Linked DNA regions of Saccharomyces cerevisiae S288C. The main gene of each other region encodes a partner of the protein of the gene in region 3 in a complex. Each region holds a gene or a part of one and is shown on either strand. Other genes may lie near its edges.

The links.
Region 1: NUP145 (region 3) and NUP100 share a complex: the UniProt entries of both Saccharomyces cerevisiae proteins name them as parts of the nuclear pore complex.
Region 2: NUP145 (region 3) and GLE1 share a complex: the UniProt entries of both Saccharomyces cerevisiae proteins name them as parts of the nuclear pore complex.

Annotation. Positions count from the first base shown.
Region 1 is NC_001143.9:308,634-315,478, forward strand, and holds NUP100 (FG-nucleoporin NUP100), read left to right. Parts: upstream 1-1,565; coding exon 1,566-4,445; downstream 4,446-6,845. Other genes in the region: YKL068W-A (uncharacterized protein), read left to right, coding at 573-809; YNK1 (nucleoside diphosphate kinase), read left to right, coding at 6,179-6,640. UniProt on the Saccharomyces cerevisiae protein: Functions as a component of the nuclear pore complex (NPC).
Region 2 is NC_001136.10:86,635-92,264, reverse strand, and holds GLE1 (nucleoporin GLE1), read right to left. Parts: upstream 4,018-5,630; coding exon 2,401-4,017; downstream 1-2,400. Other genes in the region: YCX1 (Ycx1p), read right to left, coding at 1-2,089; snoRNA-binding protein NHP2, read right to left, coding at 4,283-4,753; active spliceosome conformation promoter CWC2, read left to right, coding at 5,039-5,630. UniProt on the Saccharomyces cerevisiae protein: Functions as a component of the nuclear pore complex (NPC).
Region 3 is NC_001139.9:336,088-346,159, reverse strand, and holds NUP145 (nucleocytoplasmic transporter NUP145), read right to left. Parts: upstream 8,255-10,072; coding exon 4,301-8,254; downstream 1-4,300. Other genes in the region: YGL088W (uncharacterized protein), read right to left, coding at 1-324; MF(ALPHA)2 (Mf(Alpha)2p), read left to right, coding at 1,007-1,369; LIF1 (Lif1p), read right to left, coding at 1,576-2,841; NBP35 (Fe-S cluster-binding ATPase), read left to right, coding at 3,118-4,104; kinetochore-microtubule binding complex subunit SPC105, read right to left, coding at 8,521-10,072. UniProt on the Saccharomyces cerevisiae protein: Functions as a component of the nuclear pore complex (NPC).

The sequences.
Region 1 (6,845 bases), on a different chromosome or scaffold from region 3:
ATTATCAAGCTCGCCACTAAAGGTGTCTGGATCCTTACTCAATACAAAGTCCAAGGAAAGGTGTGCCACAGGAAGAGGTAGCATCCCTTTATTTCTTTTCAAGGAAAGAAGCATTTTCAATCACATATGTATACAATAGTCTTCCGTGTGGCTGCACCGCACCACCTTGCAGGTCCCGTGTATGTAGGAGTCGCATGCGAATAAAAAATTGAGAAAGATCATGGGGTTTTTTGTTCACGCGGGCCGCAGTTGTGGCTCCTCTGTCACTTTTTTGCCCTCTGCTAAGGGCAAAAAAGAAAAAAAAACGCAACGAGAAAATTAAAAGTGTGGCATTTCGACATCTATCGCCATTCGTGCGGCCATTTCTCGAAACAACGCTAAACTTTTGTTTCGACTGTGAGGCCCTAGAACAGTTCGATTCTGATGTAGGCAATGGAAGAAACAATCATATATAACTACAGAACCTAATGTTACATGCTTGCATCTCTCAGCTCCCGCGAATTTTCAAGTGAGACTTAATGGTAGCCATCTAGTAACTCATAAATCAACGACATTATATATCATCAACTACAATGCAGGCAAACCATTCCGTCAGTTACCTTTACGAATCAAGTACTTCAAAGAGGTCAAATGGGCTCTTTTCTCAAACACAAAAGCAAGGAAGTTTTCAAAAAGCTTTAAGTCAAACTCAGGAAGAAATAGAAGATGAAGACCTGATGGTAGACCTCAACACAGGATCTTTAACTCCCGTTAAGTTAAAATATTGGACTCAAATGAGTGCTATGACGGAAAAATTTGGTAAACTGTGAGACCAATTTTGGCGGTAATTTCGTTTAGCTGTTTTATTTTCACATTTTTAATTGTCAATGCTGGAGGTTGTTAAAGTTTGGCTAGCTGTTCTGAACAATCCTTGTATACCGGTGAGACTTTTTGTTATAGATATTGGCGATATTCATTTTTTAGGAAGGTGTTTTTATAGATTTTTCAATTTTTTTTGTGTAGATGCATGTTTTGATTACTTATGCATAGTACGAATTTTTAGTTTATTAAGCTATAGAGGTTTTTTTTTTTTTCACCTCTTTACCACAAATTTAATAGCTATTGTGTAGAATAACTTTTAATGGAAAACATTTGCAGTATTTTAGTATTTTTCTACCTGTTTATTGCAAGTAAGGGCAGCATTATCCTGATAGGAGTAGAGGTTAACCGCACATCGGAATGAGACTTCTCCAAGAACGTTCTCAAAGTAAAACATTTAGCATTAGGAAATTTCTTTGGTCGATTATTAGACAAAGATTAGATTGTATTATGTTCTGATGCTTAGTTAGAACGGAAAGTGTTACCCATCTTGCAATCACCGTGACACCTTAAATATTTGCCGTAAGCGAAGAAAAAAAGCATGAAAAAAAAAAGCATATTTATGCTGAAGTCATCTACAAATGACCACCGCTTTTGGACCTGAAGAGGAGAAGAAAATAACATATCGTAGAACAGTCTTTGTTAACCAAAATATTTTAGCTTTGATTCCGGACTATTAGTACATTGAATTTTTTCAGGTACTAACAATGTTTGGCAACAATAGACCAATGTTTGGAGGGAGCAACCTTTCCTTTGGATCAAATACGTCATCCTTCGGTGGGCAACAATCGCAACAACCAAACTCTCTTTTTGGAAATAGCAATAACAACAACAATTCCACCAGTAACAATGCCCAATCAGGATTTGGTGGATTCACTTCTGCCGCTGGCAGTAATAGTAACAGTTTATTTGGAAATAACAATACTCAAAATAATGGGGCATTTGGCCAGTCAATGGGTGCCACCCAAAACTCACCATTTGGGTCGTTAAACTCCTCAAATGCCAGTAATGGGAACACTTTTGGAGGATCCAGTTCAATGGGTTCTTTTGGTGGTAATACCAATAATGCATTTAATAATAACAGTAACAGTACCAATTCCCCGTTTGGTTTCAATAAACCGAATACAGGAGGGACCTTGTTTGGTTCGCAGAATAATAATAGTGCAGGTACTTCTAGTTTATTTGGCGGCCAAAGTACAAGTACCACTGGCACATTCGGAAACACCGGAAGTAGTTTCGGAACAGGCTTAAATGGCAACGGCTCTAACATATTTGGGGCAGGGAACAACTCACAAAGCAATACTACCGGCAGCTTGTTTGGCAACCAACAATCTTCAGCGTTTGGGACAAATAATCAACAAGGAAGTCTATTTGGACAGCAATCTCAAAACACCAATAATGCGTTTGGTAATCAAAATCAGCTGGGGGGCAGTTCCTTCGGATCAAAACCAGTTGGTTCAGGGTCGCTGTTTGGCCAGAGCAACAACACTTTAGGTAATACAACCAATAATAGAAATGGATTGTTTGGTCAAATGAATTCCAGTAACCAAGGCAGTTCTAACAGTGGATTGTTTGGACAAAACTCGATGAACAGCAGCACTCAAGGGGTATTTGGACAAAACAATAATCAAATGCAAATTAATGGCAATAACAACAACAGTTTATTTGGAAAGGCAAACACCTTTTCAAATTCCGCATCAGGAGGTTTATTTGGCCAAAATAATCAACAGCAAGGGTCCGGGCTGTTTGGTCAAAATTCTCAGACAAGCGGTAGTAGTGGACTTTTTGGGCAGAATAATCAGAAACAGCCCAATACTTTTACCCAATCTAATACAGGAATAGGTCTCTTTGGACAGAACAACAACCAGCAACAACAATCTACAGGTTTGTTTGGAGCCAAACCAGCAGGTACCACAGGATCTCTTTTCGGTGGTAATTCATCAACCCAGCCTAACTCTCTTTTCGGTACTACCAATGTACCTACCTCTAATACACAGTCACAACAAGGAAATAGTCTTTTTGGTGCCACGAAGCTGACCAACATGCCCTTTGGAGGAAATCCCACTGCAAACCAGTCAGGGAGTGGAAACAGTCTATTCGGAACTAAACCTGCCTCCACTACCGGCTCATTATTTGGAAACAACACAGCTTCTACGACAGTACCTTCCACGAATGGATTGTTTGGTAACAACGCTAACAATTCAACTAGCACTACGAATACGGGACTTTTCGGTGCAAAGCCTGATTCTCAGTCCAAACCTGCATTAGGGGGAGGGTTATTCGGCAATTCAAACTCGAATTCTTCCACAATCGGCCAAAACAAACCAGTTTTTGGAGGCACAACCCAAAATACAGGACTCTTTGGCGCCACCGGCACGAACTCTTCAGCAGTTGGTTCAACTGGTAAACTTTTTGGCCAGAATAATAATACGCTTAATGTTGGTACACAAAATGTACCACCTGTGAACAATACCACCCAAAACGCCCTTTTGGGTACAACGGCAGTTCCTTCCCTACAACAAGCCCCAGTAACTAATGAACAGCTTTTTTCCAAAATATCAATCCCTAACTCTATTACAAATCCAGTTAAAGCAACAACTTCAAAAGTGAACGCAGATATGAAAAGAAATAGTAGCCTCACGTCTGCCTATAGACTTGCCCCAAAGCCGTTATTTGCTCCCTCTTCGAATGGCGATGCTAAATTTCAAAAGTGGGGCAAGACACTGGAAAGAAGTGATAGAGGAAGCAGTACCAGCAATTCTATTACGGACCCAGAATCAAGCTATCTAAATTCAAACGACTTGTTGTTTGATCCAGATAGAAGATATTTGAAACATCTGGTGATTAAAAATAATAAGAACTTAAATGTCATTAACCATAATGATGATGAAGCAAGCAAAGTTAAATTAGTGACGTTTACAACAGAATCAGCTTCAAAAGATGACCAAGCCTCATCAAGCATTGCTGCTTCAAAATTAACTGAAAAAGCACATTCTCCTCAGACTGACCTAAAAGATGATCATGATGAAAGCACTCCTGATCCTCAATCGAAATCTCCAAATGGTTCCACCTCTATACCAATGATTGAGAATGAAAAGATTAGCAGCAAAGTTCCCGGCCTATTGAGCAACGACGTTACCTTTTTCAAGAATAACTACTACATTTCACCTTCCATAGAAACGCTTGGCAATAAGTCATTAATTGAACTTCGTAAAATAAACAACCTAGTCATTGGTCACAGAAATTATGGTAAAGTCGAGTTTCTGGAGCCCGTTGATTTGTTGAATACTCCTTTGGATACTTTATGCGGGGATCTTGTCACCTTTGGACCAAAATCATGTTCAATATATGAAAACTGTTCCATAAAGCCAGAAAAGGGCGAAGGCATTAATGTACGTTGTAGAGTGACTTTATATTCCTGTTTTCCTATTGACAAAGAAACAAGGAAACCTATAAAGAATATAACACATCCTCTACTGAAAAGAAGTATAGCCAAACTAAAAGAAAACCCAGTGTACAAGTTTGAAAGCTATGACCCCGTAACAGGCACCTATAGTTACACCATAGATCACCCAGTTTTAACTTAAACCGGAATAATTTTTGTAGAGAATCCTTGTATCGTCTAAGTAGTCTAGATGTTCAGCTGATAGATTTTCGTTGTATTGTATATATAATAATTGTCGGAAAACAAAAATACTTAATTGTAATTGTGTGACCGAAAATGCCTGATCAACAGCCATGGCACATTTGAATGGGATTTTGAGGAGACAAAAATGAAGAGGTTCTATAACCTTTGTAGAAGAACATTGACCTCTTTTCAATGAAGGTTGGTGGCATCGCCAGATGCAGAAAGGTTGTCTCATGAAATAAAAACGGACAGACCATGAAGGCTAAAGGAAAAAAATAAAATGCCATCTCCTAGAATCGAACCAGGGTTTCATCGGCCACAACGATGTGTACTAACCACTATACTAAGATGGCAAACAACTGTGAAGTTTTTGGTTACATCTGCACATCTGGTTGAATAAATATTATGTACTCTTTGCTTTTTTATGTTAAACCTACAAGTGGTGACTGTAAAGAAGCATTACAACGTAGAACTGATAAAGGGGAGAAATATGTGAGTTGTTAGATAATTGTTGGGATTCCATTGCTGCTAAAGGCTATAATATTGGTATACAGAATATACTAGAAGTTCTCCTCGAGGATATAGGAATCCACAAAAGGGAATCGATAGTTCTACATAATGTTATTATTTTATCTTCCTTCCTTTTATATGTTGTCATTCATTATCCTATTACATTATCAATCCTTGCATTTCAGCTTCCATTAGATCGGATGACTGTTTCTCAATCTTTATGTCATCTTCTCACACCGCATGTGATAATATAATATTAAATAGATGATATTAGAGTTCAATTCCAACAAAAGGGGAGTAGTTACATAAGCTTTCCGTAATGGTGAATTTATAGCAGTTTCCTTCTCGATGAAAGGAAGGGAAAGAATTAAATATACTCGAATGCTTGTACCACTCCATTTCCCCATTTATCACATTTAAAGTTACGAGTAAAAAAGTGACCGATATAGAATGTCTGATGAAAGAGCAAATGAAAGAAACATCAAGAAAGCATATTGAAATTAGCAAGTGAAAGCAAAAAAAGTAGATGAGTAAGCATTATAATGCGTCCAGTCTGACTTTTTTGTTGGAATAAAAATCAACTATCATCTACTAACTAGTATTTACGTTGCTAGTATATTATCATATACGGTGTTAGAAGCTGGCGCAAATGATGAGAAATAGTCATCTAAATTAGTGGAAGCTGAAACGCAAGGATTGATAATGTAATAGGATCAATGAATGTTAACATATAAAACGATGATAATAATATTTATAGAATTGTGTAGAATTACAGATTCCCTTTTATGGATTCCTAAATCCTTGAGGAGAACTTCTAGTATATCTACATACCTAATATTATAGCCTTAATCACAATGGAATCCCAACAATTACATCAGAATCCACTGAGTCTTCATTTTTTCCTATTTTTTGAATTAATTTTTGTTCGTATCCATTGGGCTGGCGAGCAAGTCCATCAAATAAAAAGGCGCGTAATTCGCTTCGTTTCGTGTCTTCGAAAATGAAGACCAGTTTTCCTCCTTAAAAGTACTTTAATTCGGAGAGCCGATTATATAAAGTGAAAGACTTAGTACTTCGTTAGCTCATATCGTTTTCTTATTTTGAAATAGGTTATCTATAGAATACTTTATCAAGTTATCAGGTTCTTTCCGGAAAAACATCTCATAAATCATCCCTGGAAAAATGTCTAGTCAAACAGAAAGAACTTTTATTGCGGTAAAACCAGATGGTGTCCAGAGGGGCTTAGTATCTCAAATTCTATCTCGTTTTGAAAAAAAAGGTTACAAACTAGTTGCTATTAAATTAGTTAAAGCGGATGATAAATTACTAGAGCAACATTACGCAGAGCATGTTGGTAAACCATTTTTCCCAAAGATGGTATCCTTTATGAAGTCTGGTCCCATTTTGGCCACGGTCTGGGAGGGAAAAGATGTGGTTAGACAAGGAAGAACTATTCTTGGTGCTACTAATCCTTTGGGCAGTGCACCAGGTACCATTAGAGGTGATTTCGGTATTGACCTAGGCAGAAACGTCTGTCACGGCAGTGATTCTGTTGATAGCGCTGAACGTGAAATCAATTTGTGGTTTAAGAAGGAAGAGTTAGTTGATTGGGAATCTAATCAAGCTAAGTGGATTTATGAATGAATAACTTATGGCATGGGAGGGTACATATGAGCGCCTTTTTTTTCTCGCTTTGGGCAGCTCATATCATGTTCCCTCACTAGCTAATAATATAATGAATTTTTTAGAAGGAGCACGATTATATAAAAAAAATACCACTTATGTTGCTACCCTTATATACGAATTTATAATACTTAATGACGCTTCAATGACGCCTGATGTCAAATGC
Region 2 (5,630 bases), on a different chromosome or scaffold from region 3:
TATTACTATCTCTGCCACTCACTATTTTTCCAGTTTTGTCGCCTAGCATTATCATAATTCCATCAAATCCGACGCCAAATAAGAAATATAAAAGTGGACTGCCAAAACAAGCTCCTATCGCGATTTCTAAAACACCTATTTTGACGAATGTAATATTTGACACTAAATCACCAATCGAATTACCCCATGTAAAAATGGTTAAACCTAGTATTGTTTCCGATATATTAAACACATTTATCCAATGCGTTAACGTGACTACAATTATGTGGACAGCTTTCGAAAGACAGGCCAATGACAATAAAAATGCTACTGTAAAGATTATATCAGAGTTGAACTTGTTCGGTATGGTCCTAGTTTTAAAATATAATAAGATGGCTATCACCAGCGATAAGATGAGCAACCAAAATGAAAAGTTATTTGTGATGAGTTGGTTGAGAATTATTGGCGAAGCAATCAATTGAATATTCTGTAGGTATGAAAGGGGTAAGTCATGGTCTGTTTGACTTATCTCTGATGGTATTGAAAGATAAAGAATTATTGATACCGGCGTAGTGACTAATAATGACAAGAACTCAAAGAAACCAATTTCCAAGGACACATCTGTTAAGTAATTGTAAAGTTGGAAACTATGCCAAGCGGTTCTACTCTTTGTTGAACAGAGAGATAGTGTTCTATCGAGAATTATATCATCTCTCTCATACTGTAAGAGAGAGTTGTCGATAACATCTGATATGCTGTTCAAGGCATTGGTAGATTCCTGTGTACGTGTAGCCTCGTCATTTAATATAATATTATTACTCCGGACCAAGTTTGGAATGCGATCGCAGCTTAATGATTTCTTGGAGGTTTTTTTTTGTGGCACAGTCAAAAACAAACTTGTGGGTTCATTATAGTAAGTTTGATACTCGTTTTGGGGAGCAGAGATTGCAGTATCCAGCGCATTTGAATTTTCCCCATTCCGTAGGGACAAATATTTGTAAAAATCCTTAGGTTGTAATGAATTCATCCTTTTTCTTATTAAAGGCCTCCCTTCTTCATCTAAAGAAGCTTTAGTAAATAAATGAGTATCATCGGAGGGTAAAGACAACGATTTTACTGTATTGTTAAAAAGATTCTGCTTCTCCCATATATTCAAAAGATCTTGTAACGTCATTCTTACCCAGCCATGATAATGCGACCGTAAATATCCCCGTATTCTACGTCTTATTAAATCCCTTCTTTCAGGTATACCTTGATTAAATCTCGAAATGTTATCCAGGGATTTACTTGGTAAACGAGTTGGATCTAAACTAATAGCGTTGTCCTCATCAATCTGTGTATCCCCCAAAGGCCTTACATATCTTATTCCATCGTCTGTGGATGTAATGTCACTGGTAGTCGTTAATGTAAATCGATTTGGAACAGTGATATGATTATTTGCAAGTACAGTTTTTTTTATTTCTACCTCTCTTTCTAAAGCATCATTGATTTCGCAGGGATATTTGTAGCTTTTTATTAAATAGACAGCACAACAGCAGTAGGTTAAAACCATGACAATACACTCCCAAAAGTACAGTCTTCCATCTGCTAGAAAAGTGCCCGAAACTAAGAGCATAAAAGTGAATATTCCGACATCCAATATATAATTGCTTCTATCATACGATAAATTTTGGTCAAAGCTTTCTTCTGTGTAAGTTTCAATAGACTTGTCATGTTGAAATTGAATAGTGGCTACGCAGCCCATTAGTCCAATCACAACGGTTAACAGAAAAAATATGCCACCAAATAACTCACCAATGGCCAAGGAAGTCACGCCAGATTTCATCGACTGGTAAGTACTAGTAATATCAGGAAGTGCATTCCCCAATGCTAATAAAGTCATGCCGGATACTCTATCGGAAATATGGAATATGTTACTGGAAATGTATGACAAAGATGGTGTTAAGCAGTCAGAGGTAACCACTCCTAGTAAAGAGAAGCATTCAATAAGTACAACAGAATGCAGATAAAATTCAGATATTGAGCCATTACTAGAAAGGGAATAGCCTATTAATATAACGTTCGAAACGTAGAAGGCTATCGTTATTAGCCATCTTAAAGGTTTATGCATCTGCTTTAAAAAATTTGATAAATGAAGAGTAGCATTTACAAATAAAGGTAAGGAGATAGGCGCCGGAAAAAGAATGAATATTCTGCTTGATCGAATAAGATATTATGAGCGGTAGTTCAAATGTCAATTTCACGTACGTATATTTGAGTGGGAGATTGTCTTAACTTTTCCCACTTACGGCTTAATATTCATGACGTATTTTCTGCCATCCCTTGATATCGAGCCGAAAATAAAACTAAAAATGGCGACGTTTAAAATAAAGTCATTATAAAGTGTATTAGCATAATGTGCATATATAAGTTCAGAATTTTCTAAGGAGACATTTCCGGAAAGGACTCCATATTATTATTTTGCCAGGCCTCTAATAAAATTCTTAATCTCGCAGCACCCACATATTTCTTTTCAGCCATTCTGGAGGTCAATTCCTCACCAATCAAGATTAGCAATTTAGAGGCTTGGTTCCCATACGCCTGAAGAAACTGTACGGCAGCGGCATCCCACCACGAACCGAGTATGACAAAATGGGTATTTGTTATTAAATTTAGTGGCGTATTACATATTCTAGCCAAAATATGCCACGATAATGCGATGGGGAAAGGATGACTCGTGGTGGTGATAAATTCTTGAGGTAACTGTAATCTCGTTATTATGGCAAATAATGATAAGATCCCGCCCATTCTCTCATCGTAGGATGTGTTATCTTCCCATTTATTCTCGTTGTTTCTTTTCCATCCCATGTTTTGACGGCCTTTTTCTGTGTCAATCTCACACGTGAATCCTATCACAAAGGGGCATTTCTTGACAAGTCTTGCCATAAACAATTCCTGTAACTCTGGGAATTGGACTAACAAATATAAAGTCAATTTCCCTAGGGGCAGAGCAGACTCTGGTTTTACCCTGACTTCTGTTTCCGCCTGATGTACTACGGCTTTGGCAATAAAGTTTAAAATCCAATGATATGCTAGAGAGTCGCCTTTAGTATCATTTATCAATTGAGTTAGTTCATTCTGTATTTTAAAAAGTTGCTGGTTGCTATTAGTTAATTGTCCGAATTTCGGGTTAATTTTCCTTTTATGACGTGAGAGCAAATTCCTTACATTCACATCAGCTTTTTTTATAGGCAGAACTATGTCTTGCTTTATTTGAGCAATTTTGTCTTTATAATGCCAAAACATTTTGGAGATTTTATCAAAGTTTGTAACTGCTTTACCCAATTTATCCTTCTGCTGCAATAATTTGGCTTCATGTTCTTTTTTCAATTGTCTTTCCTTTTCATTCTGTTCTTCTATTTTCTTCCTTTCTTCTTCTTGTTTCTGCTGCGCTAGCTTTGCTTCAGCTTCTTTGCGTTTACGTTCTTCTTCATCCTTCTTTTGACGTAATAATTCCTGCTCCCGCTTGGCCTTTTCCTCAGCTTCCTTACGTTTGCGCTCTTCCTCCTCTTTTCGCTTACGTTGCTCTTCAACACGACGTTTATTTTCTCTAATAGATTGAATTTCTTTCTGATTGGCAAGCACCAAGTTTTGCATTTTCCTTTGAAAAGATTCTTCTATTGCCTCGAGTAAGGGTGCTGTCGCATTTGAGTTCTTAGCATTATCTAGCAATGACGAATGCGATGCTCTCGGTAGTGGCATATTGGTTGAATGCGGTACTATTATCGATGACGCGGCTACAATGGGCTCATTAATGGGGATCAGTTTCGATTGAAGGTTCAAATCGCGCAAGGCGTTTTCTAGAGCAGGATCTAAAATAACTACCGACTCATTTACCAATTTCTTCGTGCCAACTTTCGTGAATGAAGGTAACTTTATTGCTGGGCTCGGCTCAGGTGTAGGGCATTGCGATGACGTAGAAGATGTTGTAGAACATGTTTCCTCAAATTCTGGAGAATCAGTATCTGAATTGAAAACCTCATCGAACACAAATCTCATTCTTCGACTCTGCAGAATATCCTGTAGCAACGGCCCGCGATTCTCTTGTTATCAATTATATACCTATTTCTTTGATGATATTTTCATTAAACATACAAAAAGTGGAACAGTAGAACGAAGCCCGGTTACCCGAAAAGTCACAAACATTTGATGTTATTAGTAGTATTATATAATATACAGAAGGCCTACAGTCAAAATATATATCTAATGCCAGATTTTTTTTATTTCTTCTAGATTTCTAATATGGTTAAGAAGCGAACTTTTTTCATAAAGCTTGAACTTCTTTGACAACTTCGTTGAAAGATTCCTTGTATTCTTCTTCTTTATTTTTTCCATCTTTTTTCTTATTGCTACCTGGGACGATAAAGACAACTGAGGTAGGTCTTTTTGTAGCGCCAGCGGCACCTAAGTCTTGCTTTGAAGGTATGAAGATGTATGGGACAGAGTGATCTTCACATAAGACTGGGATGTGGGAAATAACATCAGCTGGAGAAATGTCACCGGCGATGACGACTAAACCTTTTTCACCCTTTCTTAAGGCCTTGACAACTTCCTTGACACCTCTTTTAACATTCTTGGCCTTGGAAGCCTTCTTCACGGTCTTCAAGACCTTCTTGTTTAGTTTCTTAGAGGCCAATGGTTTAGCGAATGGCAACACAGCAGGCATTCTGGCCTCATAGTTGTCTACGGTTTTGCTTTCTTTGCTTTCCTTATGTTCCTTGTTGTCTTTACCCATTTTTACTGCACTTGTTTCCGTTTCTCTGCTACCCAATGATCCATTGACCATTTACTACTACTATATCATGCATTCGTTTTTTACTTTTCTTTATTCCTCATCACTTTTTTTCAGAAAAATTTTTTTCAGTTTTTGAGCATTCCATCGTTACATACGTACATATGCGGGTAATGATGAAATTTTCCATTATGTATTGAAGGCTGGATCATAATAAAGACTACTGGCGATGGGCCTTAAGGTAGTAACGACGTTAGTAAGACAGTATACGCATTGATAGAAATTTGGATGACATCTTGGAGGGATAAATCCGCGAAAGTGCAAGTGAAGGAGTCAGAACTGCCCTCCTCTATACCGGCGCAGACTGGATTGACGTTTAATATATGGTATAATAAATGGTCCCAAGGGTTTGCGGGGAATACACGATTTGTTAGTCCATTTGCTTTGCAGCCGCAACTTCATTCTGGGAAGACTAGGGGCGATAATGATGGCCAGTTGTTCTTCTGTCTATTTTTTGCAAAGGGTATGTGTTGCCTTGGCCCTAAATGTGAATATCTGCATCATATACCAGACGAAGAAGATATAGGTAAACTGGCCCTGAGGACAGAGGTATTGGACTGTTTTGGTAGAGAAAAATTTGCTGACTATAGAGAGGATATGGGCGGGATCGGTTCATTTAGGAAGAAAAACAAGACATTGTATGTAGGTGGTATTGATGGAGCATTGAATAGCAAGCATTTGAAGCCAGCTCAGATAGAAAGCAGAATTCGATTTGTATTTTCTCGATTGGGTGATATTGATAGAATACGATACGTTGAGAGCAAAAACTGTGGATTTGTGAAGTTTAAATATCAAGCTAATGCAGAATTTGCCAAAGAAG
Region 3 (10,072 bases):
ACAGACGACAGAAAGACTGTTGCACCCAAGATCGATAAATTTGTTCTCCAGTCCAAGCCAATAATAAATATATTGCAACACCAATCCACATTCTTCATGGGTCAAGAACGCCCCGGAGGGGTTCAACCTCGACGAGATACTGTACGTGTTACGAATGGCTGTTAAATTTGCGTTACTGTTATAAAATAACACTAAAATAAGAAATGGAAAGTAAATAAATAGTAAAGGAAAGTCAAATAAAGCAATGAATGCTGCATTGATCTGCCTTTTATAGCTAAGAAAAAAAAAGAGAAAAAAATAATAAGTGCGGGTAACCTCATGCATTGTAAAACGGTAGGGCTACAAGGCACTACTTACTCTACGCTATAGAAGAAGCTTCAAGACATGGTGTTGTTCTTATTTGAGCGAACTCAGCTGTCACCGTTTCGGGAAACTCTATAGTTTTCTGCGTTTCAGTACGCAGTTGGGCGTGCTAAAGTTGTTTTCCTAATTTGCTAGTGTTCACTTGCTCATTGATGTCCCTAAAAGGTAATGTCGCATAGTAAGATGTATGTCCCATATCAAACGCATTCCTAGAAAAACATGCACTGAATGAATAAGCAGTTACTTCGATTACTAATCTTCACAGCATAATTTTTCTCTTATCTTGTAAACCTCTTTCTATCTTTTCATAAAGTTTGTCACTTATATTTCTTCATTGGTACATCAATGCCAGCAACGATGTGCGCATCTGGGCGACGCCTGTAGTGATTGTTTTCAAGGTATCGAGCCAAACTATTCATCGTTACTGTTTCAAATATTCAGTTGTTTCAGTACAGAGTCGCCGTGGACCTAGTGAAACTTGGTGTCTTTACAGCGCAGAGACGAGGGCTTATATGTATAAAAGCTGTCCTTGATTCTGGTGTAGTTTGAGGTGTCCTTCCTATATCTGTTTTTATATTCTATATAATGGATAATTACTACCATCACCTGCATCAAATTCCAGTAAATTCACATATTGGAGAAAATGAAATTCATTTCTACCTTTCTCACTTTTATTTTAGCGGCCGTTTCTGTCACTGCTAGTTCCGATGAAGATATCGCTCAGGTGCCAGCCGAGGCCATTATTGGATACTTGGATTTCGGAGGTGATCATGACATAGCTTTTTTACCATTCAGTAACGCTACCGCCAGTGGGCTATTGTTTATCAACACCACTATTGCTGAGGCGGCTGAAAAAGAGCAAAACACCACTTTGGCGAAAAGAGAGGCTGTTGCCGACGCTTGGCACTGGTTAAATTTGAGACCAGGCCAACCAATGTACAAGAGAGAGGCCAACGCTGATGCTTGGCACTGGTTGCAACTCAAGCCAGGCCAACCAATGTACTGAAAAATGACCCTAAACTACTTCTAAACCCTCTCGATTTCTTTCACGTTCATACAACACCTAGTTTTATTTATTTTCTTTTCAATCTGAGTAGTTGAGTTTTCGATCACTCACATAGAACTATTTTTTGCCATTTAAATAAAGTATTCTCTCAAATGATGCGATACTATAATACTCTTTGCCATATATTACATTCATTCATAAATAGGCTATGTTTCTATATCCGTTTCCGATTCTGTCTGCAAGCAAGGTTCCCTATCATTACCGGATTGTTCACTATGGTTGGAGCTCTTCTTTTCCCCTGCACTTGCATCAGTCTCAGATTCAGAACCAGAAATGTCTCCGTAATCTTCATCCGATCTTCCTGCTGATATTTGAATACCATTGTCTTCTAAAGACACTAAATGTTTTTGAACATCACTGCTACTATCAGATTCAAAACTTATTGATTGTGTGTCATCTCCAAAAGAGGTAATATCATCGTACTTTTCACTGAGTTTATCTTTAGCAGTAATAATTGGCCTTTTAGAAAGTCCGAAAAATTGAAAGTCATCAAAATCGTCGTCTTCCATTTTGATCACGGATTGATTAGATATTTTTCTATTAGCTCTCCTCCGACTTGTGTCTTTCAACTTCTTTTGTAAATTTTGAGGCTCTACTACCGTCTTTCTTCGTTTCATTCTTTTTCCTGGAGAGTTTAACTCAGAAATTGGCTTTTGCACTTCCGTATTAATAAGCGCAGAATCTAAAACATCATCGTCAGACAATTTGATATTATTTTGTCGCAGAATCTCATGAAGCTCTCTTATTTTCTTCTTCTTCTCATTCAACAAGGTTACCATCATTGCTCTGGTTCTTTCATCACGTGTTTCTAAAAGCTTATCCAATAGCTCCCTTTCCCGAGCCAGCTGTTCAACTCGATTTCTATTGCTAGAATCGCTCTCCTTTATATTCCGGTAAGAATCGTTAACACAACAGATATCTTTATAGAGTTTATCTGCCATTTCAAATAAATCAATCTCTCCCTTTTTGACTGGATGCAAGGTAAGTTCAGCGATTTTTCTTATGATCGCCGATGACTCCAACTCCATAACTACTTTCCATACCTCATCATCTTGCATTCTGCACGTCCATTTTGTGAATACGACTTTTTCGTCTAACGATGCAATGTACACTTTGTGACCAGTTAACATTTTGAGTAGTTCATACCACACATATTTCTTAGACTCTTCATCGATATTTTCTCCCGTAAAGATTCGCAAATCATTGATTCCAAAACTGCTTTTGGAAAAAATTCCTGTACCTTCACTTACCAACATTTTCTCTATTCTAAGCCCTGAAAGACTGTTCTCATCTAATGTTTCCAACATAGCGCCATCTTCAATCTGAATCTTACAGAGGCCACGCTCATCTTCTTCATTTTGTTCTTCATTAACCACAGGGATACAGCTAATGAACTCCGTCAGCTGGGACATAGCACCCTACATAAATAAGTCATCCAATGCACAATTCTCTCAGTTCTATGCATTGACACGTCGAAAACTGCCGTTCATCTTATTATTCTTTAATATGGCTTTTCAAAATACGCTTCCGGGTACTTTTTCGGATTCATTAATGGTGTAATTAGTAATGCGTAGAAATATTTTGTATATAATAATAAATAACATGTTTGTCCAACAACTCGTAGGCTAGGCTAAACGTGAAGTCTTTCTGTTTTTGAGAACAACAGTATACATAAGTGATATCCAAGAATGACTGAGATACTACCACATGTAAACGACGAAGTGCTACCAGCAGAGTATGAACTTAATCAGCCGGAACCAGAACACTGTCCTGGTCCAGAATCAGACATGGCAGGTAAGTCCGATGCTTGTGGTGGCTGCGCCAATAAAGAAATATGTGAAAGTCTTCCGAAAGGCCCTGATCCAGATATTCCATTGATCACAGATAACTTGTCAGGAATAGAACATAAAATATTGGTTTTATCAGGCAAAGGTGGCGTAGGCAAGTCGACATTTGCCGCAATGCTAAGTTGGGCACTTTCAGCTGACGAAGATTTACAAGTAGGTGCCATGGATTTAGATATATGTGGACCTTCTTTGCCACATATGTTAGGCTGCATTAAAGAAACCGTCCATGAATCGAACTCCGGTTGGACACCTGTCTATGTGACTGATAATTTAGCCACCATGTCTATTCAATATATGCTTCCAGAAGACGATTCCGCCATTATATGGAGGGGTTCAAAAAAGAATTTATTGATAAAAAAATTTTTAAAGGATGTTGATTGGGATAAACTCGATTACTTGGTAATCGACACACCGCCCGGAACATCTGATGAGCACATTTCAATAAACAAGTATATGAGAGAATCTGGCATAGATGGTGCCCTTGTGGTCACCACACCTCAGGAAGTAGCTTTATTAGATGTACGGAAAGAGATAGATTTCTGTAAGAAGGCTGGTATCAATATTCTTGGACTAGTGGAAAATATGAGCGGATTTGTATGTCCAAATTGCAAAGGAGAGTCCCAAATATTCAAGGCTACCACAGGTGGAGGTGAAGCACTTTGTAAGGAATTGGGCATCAAATTTTTGGGGTCTGTTCCGTTAGATCCGAGGATTGGCAAGAGTTGTGACATGGGTGAAAGTTTCCTGGATAACTATCCTGACAGCCCAGCTTCGAGTGCTGTACTTAACGTTGTGGAGGCTCTGCGAGATGCTGTGGGGGATGTATAGTATATTTTATCAAAAAGAATAAAAGGAAGTGCATTAGAGGTCAAATCGTTTTATAATATAAATATCATTACCTTTAAATCTTAGACCTACTGAAGAACACTTTTACCATATATAATGCTACTAATTACTCCAAAAGCGTTAGCTTCAGTCCATGTTTTACTATTTTTCTTTTTTTTAGAAATAAAAATAAAAAAACTTATATCTTATATGTACACTTCATTAAATCCTGGGCAAACTCACCCCTCAAGTATGCCTTTTCTGGCTGCCCTAGGGGGAGCTCAAGCAATTTGGCCTTCGAATCGCCTATTGAAGGATTGTTTTTCTCCAATATTTTTGATACAATCTCTTGGGACATAACATTACAACATGCGGCCACTTCACGACAGTGCTTATACTGATCATAAAATATCTTCATACCACTAATTAATGAATCGATAGTCTCCTGCGTTTCAACATTATCCAACACAAGCTTTAGATATACTTCAAATACGTTTATACTTACACTCCATTTGTCCCTCTCAGAGTCTGGAAATTCGTTAAGAATTTCCCTCAAAGTTTTCAGTTCATTATTCTGTACAGGATTGTTTGATAACAACAGCCTTGGTCCTAATGACGTAACAATAGCCATTTCTGCCAAATCATAAGACGAACCCAGGAGTAGATTTTGTACTTCAGAAAGGTAATTGCCTTCATATCTATCTTTCAAAGCTTGAGCATTGAATATCAATTGCGAAGGGATCTTTAATCTATTTAAAATGTGATCATTGGTAGAGGCTCTTAACAATGTTATTTCACGCATAACAAGCCTTTTTATGGTATCTTCTGCTGCCTTGTCATCATTTAAAAAGCAAGAAACAAAAAGAGAGTGGCCATGTAATTGTGCAAATTCAAGTTGAGCGGCAAATGCGAATGTAGCCTCATCGCTAGTTTCCTTCGAAAAAACGCGTGTTCCATTAAATCTCAATGTTTGAATCAAGTACCAGCAAAACTGAACATCTAAAGCGTTGGTTCTTTGTCTAACCTCCTTATAGAGCTTCTCCGTATTTTCATTAGCAGCATATAGTTGGAAAATAACTCCAATAGGATCATCATAGGGTAAAGAAAACTTGTCTAAATGCGATTGCACAAGAGATTCTAAGGAATACTCATCTATCTGGCCGTAGCACAGTGTCAAATTCAAAAGGCACAACCAACTGAATTCACTTTCAAGTTCCTTAAGAGAAAATAAACCTTCAAAAGGTGAACCGCTTAGTAATTTGTAAATCTTCGAGATATTCTTGTCGATACTACAACCACCAGTTGACCACTTTTGCAATTGTAATTCCGCTAAATCACGTATCCTTGGGTCGTTTGAACCCAAATAGGATATCAAAACGCTCAAATGACCATTCTTAGACTCAATTGCTAACTTGGATGCCCTTACGACATCATTCAAGAGCAAATATAGAAATATTTGTTCTATTTCGTTAGAAGAATTCCTAATTTTCTCTTCAATTTCCGGACCTATCTGGCTAACAATCCACGAAGTTAATCGACAATGCCTTTCTTTTTTTAATAATGCCATTTTTACTTGATCATTGTCCGTCTTGTATGGATAGGAAACGGGGTCGAATAAAATAGATGAAAGTTTCCATAGATTGTAATCACTAGAGGTTTTTTCCATATAATCTAAAGCATCTTTAAAGAGTAAAGAGCTTTCACTAATTTGTGGGTATGGGTTTGACTTCCTTGCTTCGATAGTAACCTTTTCAATTTCTTTATCTAAATAGACGTCATCGAATAAAAATTTTCTTTGCAACTCAGTTGGTAAACGCTTAATTGAAACGCCCGATTTACCAACAATATCTTTTGTCAGTAGCATTGAACCTGTTGAAAATTTTGCAAACGTATAAGAGGCTGTAAATCTTCTTTCCTTCATGATGAGTTTTGCGTTATCAATTTCATCATTGCATTCGGAAAAGAGTAAATCTATTTCATTTTGACATGGCCCGTCAAATTCTTTAGAAGTGGCAAACACAGAACGTAGTGAAGACCCAGCTAAAATTAATTGTTCTACCCAATCCTTAGAAACGTCAAGTTTAGGGGAAGCTTCAATTCCCTCAAAGTCCGCATCAGACAAATCAGGTTCGTATGCCTTTTCCTCAACGATAGAGTCGTCTTTACCTGATAGAGTTCCAAAAGTGCCATCTGTTTTGAGGATAACCTCTTTATCCGATGGTTTTGATTGCGCTAACGTGCGCACCTTTCTTAATGGTTGCTCACCGCCGTCTTCTTGTTTACTCAAATCGTCTTCATCTATTTCCGCATCTTCTTCATTGACTAACCCCCAAATGCTAAAATGATTGACTTTGAAAGTCCAAGTCCCGCCAAAGGGATTATAGGATATATAGTTCATTTCCCTCATGCTTCTTAGTTTCCTGTCAAAAACTTGAAATTCAGCAAACTTCGTCGTATCTTTCATCGGTTTTTTTGTTTTTTTATCTACAGGATAAACATTCTCTAGAGTGATTATAGCGGGAACGTTTAACCCATGCCCAATCATTGGTTTGGTGGCTTCGTCAGGATATACTTCTACTGTCTTAGAGGAACGAAATATTACAATTTTACCGAATAGTTCTTCTCTAAAGCTTTTGGTAAAAGCTGTGAGATCCACATCATGTTGAAATGTAATACAACCATAACCTCTTCTCCCGATAACAAAATTTGAAACGGCCGCTAATTGCTTCAATGACAAACGCTCCAGCTGTTCTGGGGAAGGAGAACACCAATAACCAAAACTTGATGACTTTTCATGTTGTAAAGTATTTTCGCCGTCTTGTTTATTCAAGTTATTCGATTGCTCCTTTCCATTCAAATAAGTGTTATCCAAATTATTATCTCTATTTTCTTTCCTGTCAATGTTAGTGACACTATCAGCATTTGCAATTGGCTCATTTTCCGATGAATCTTGTTCGTCTTGCATATGTTTTTTTGTGATGGCGGGAGTACCAGAGAGGAGTTTTAATTTTTTTGCAGCACTTCTGTTGGAATCAATTTTCAATTTACGCAGCTCTGTCAAGTCGGCCCTTTGGGAGGATAGGAAATTAAAACCATTCTGAGGAAAGATGCTGTTTTCATTTGGAGCCAAAGAAGTCATCTTTGAAGAAAAAAAGTCATCTACTAAGGGAGCTGAACCTGCTCCATTCAGCCACGGTTTACTGTAAGACGGTGAAAATATTTCATTCGGTGACGTGCTTTTCTGAGTGGCTTTCAGTCTCGTGCTTAGTCTACTCACTAAACTTGACTGTGAGGCGAGTGGTAAAGGAGCGTTCCCTGAAACTGAGGAAGAAAACGAATATGTTCTTCTATTTTCAATTGGTTTGGGTTCCGCATCTGACTTGCCATTCACATCTGATAGAGAAGACGTAATAGATCTTGGCATGTCAGCCACTGCCATAGGAACATTACTTATGTTAATTCCATATGGGTTGGTTGACATGGTTCCAGTAGTTTCACCGGATCTTGGGAATGAAGCACCATTATTTCCAAACAATCCCCCAGTTGTTGAAGCTCCCGGCTTTTGACCAAAAATACCTGTAGAACTTTGTGTATTATTTGATCCAAATAATCCTGTCGTTGAGTTTGTCGATGAGGAATTTCCAAACAGGCCGCCAGCACCAGCAGGGGTTGTAGTAGGCTTACCGAACAGACCACCATTTTGCGTGGTAGAAGTTATATTGTTATTGTTGCTATTACCAAACAAACCACCATTTTGGGTACTAGAGGCTATATTATTGCTACCACTGAATAAACCTGTAGAGCCCGTAGAATTTGCTGTGGCATTATTATTTCCGAATAAGCTTCCGGCACTTTTAGAAGTAGTATTGTTTGTAGCGCCAAATAAGCCACCTGATGGTTGTGCTGGTTTATTTCCAAATAATGAATTATTGGCGGGTTGTTGACTTATAGAATTAGCGTTTGAATTGGCATTGAATAATCCACCAGATGGGCTAGGTGTTGAAGTATTCGCATTAACATTAACGTTCCCAAATAACCCAGTAGATTTTTGAGGGAATTGAAGGGAACTGGAAGGCTGTGCCGGAGTGGATGTCGGTGTGGATGTGTTTTGGTTTCCAAAGGTGAAACCACTATTTACACTTTTATTAAACATAAGGTGGCTACTGCTTCTCCTTTGCTTGTGGTTCTAAAAAGCAATAATAATTGTGATAGGTAACAGGAAACAACAAACGAGTTAATTCTTTCTAATTTTTTATCTTTCCAATGGTGATGTGATTGTTGTTTTTGTCCAAAATTTTTTCGAGCTTTTCTTCAAATTGTTTGAACTTTCCTGCCGGCGGGGCAGTTAAAAATCTTTCGTCAAAAACTAAAAAAAAGTGATGAGATATTACTAGTCATCGTTGTCCTATTATAAACACTTTACGTAAACTCTAAATGTATTCTACTTTTCGTAAATGAAGGAAGAACTCCACTGATCTTGTGGGTTATCCTGTCAGAGAGGACTTCCCGTGACGGTGAGTAATCTTGTTGAGTACTTATGTGAACTTTCATTGGAATTTGCCCATTTTCCGAGAATACGCCCTGAGCAAATGAGACAAGGGATATAACGTAAAAAAATGCAGTCTTGTTTCTTCTATCATAATCCTTGAACTGCAAAAGCGCTTCCTCTTCCTCAGTTTGAGTAATTTTCACCGGAAACAAGAGCTTTAGTAATTTTATATACTTCAATAATGGTCTCCACTTTTTCATAGCAAAAAAAAGGTTCGAAAGCATGCTATCTTGATGTTCGGCTTCAACATTCTTCAACAACATTGTGAATAAGTGGTAACTCATATCGTCATTATTGCTGTCATTCATAACTTTCATAGAACTTAACGGATTATTTTTAAAGTTTGCTAGATTAATATCCACTCTCAAATCATCCAGTTGAAGAAATGCAATTGAAAGTGTTGCCTTTGAGAATTTCAGAAAGCGTACCCCCGTTAATGACTCCAAAATTTTGAGAGTATCTCGTAATTTTGGCAAGTCAAACCGTGTGAACAGTTTTCGTTTTTCAATTTTCTTGTCTATAGAGGCGACTTCACTTCTTAAAGTTAGTATATCATTAGATTTTTTTGCAATAGCTAATTTAAGTGAACGCATTTCTTGGGTAAAATCATTGGAAGAACTCAACGATATGGAATGTTCCATTAACTCTTGTTTGAAAGCCTCAATTTTTATTCTATTCATTAAAGTAGGCTTATAAGAATCGGATGGTAAGTTTTTTAGGGACCTTATCTCTTCCTTTATTGCTTCATTAAGTTTTCGTATTTTGCCTCTGATGCTGTTAACTTTTTCAACTTCTTCGTTTAATTTTTCGTACTCCCTTTTCAAGGTATTCAAATTTTCTGCCAAAATTAATTCCAGACCATTTAGTTGCTTTTTCCTCCATTCATACCATTCCATTGCTGCCTCCAATTTCGAATATCCTTTGACCAACTGTAGCTGGTCCCTCATCAATTGCTTCATTTTCTCATCCGAGGAAAAATACTCCTGGAGCAGAAGAGGGGGATGGGATTTATCAATTTGGGCCTCAAAGTCCTTGAATTTATCCTTGGATTCATTAATACTTCTCCAAAGCTCCTTGCATCTGAATGCTTCCACTTCTAAAATGGGTATATCGATATAGAAGGCAGAAAATACGTTATCTATCCTTTGATTCTCCACAAAATTAAAGCTGTTAAGCGGGAAATTGACCTTCTTGTCGAGATCATCTATCAGTTTGGTATCTAAAAACCCTACCCCCACTTCATTTATAAATTCCCGCAAAGTGTAGTCTTGAGTAGGCAGGGCTATACCAGACTGCCCTTCCTTGTCTATTTCGGGGAGTCTTGTTTTCTCAACTATTTTGTTCCCGTTATCATCGACATTTTCCCCATCTTCTTCATCGTCTGTCGCGGTTTGCATGCCAGTATCCTCAGTACCGGGTTCA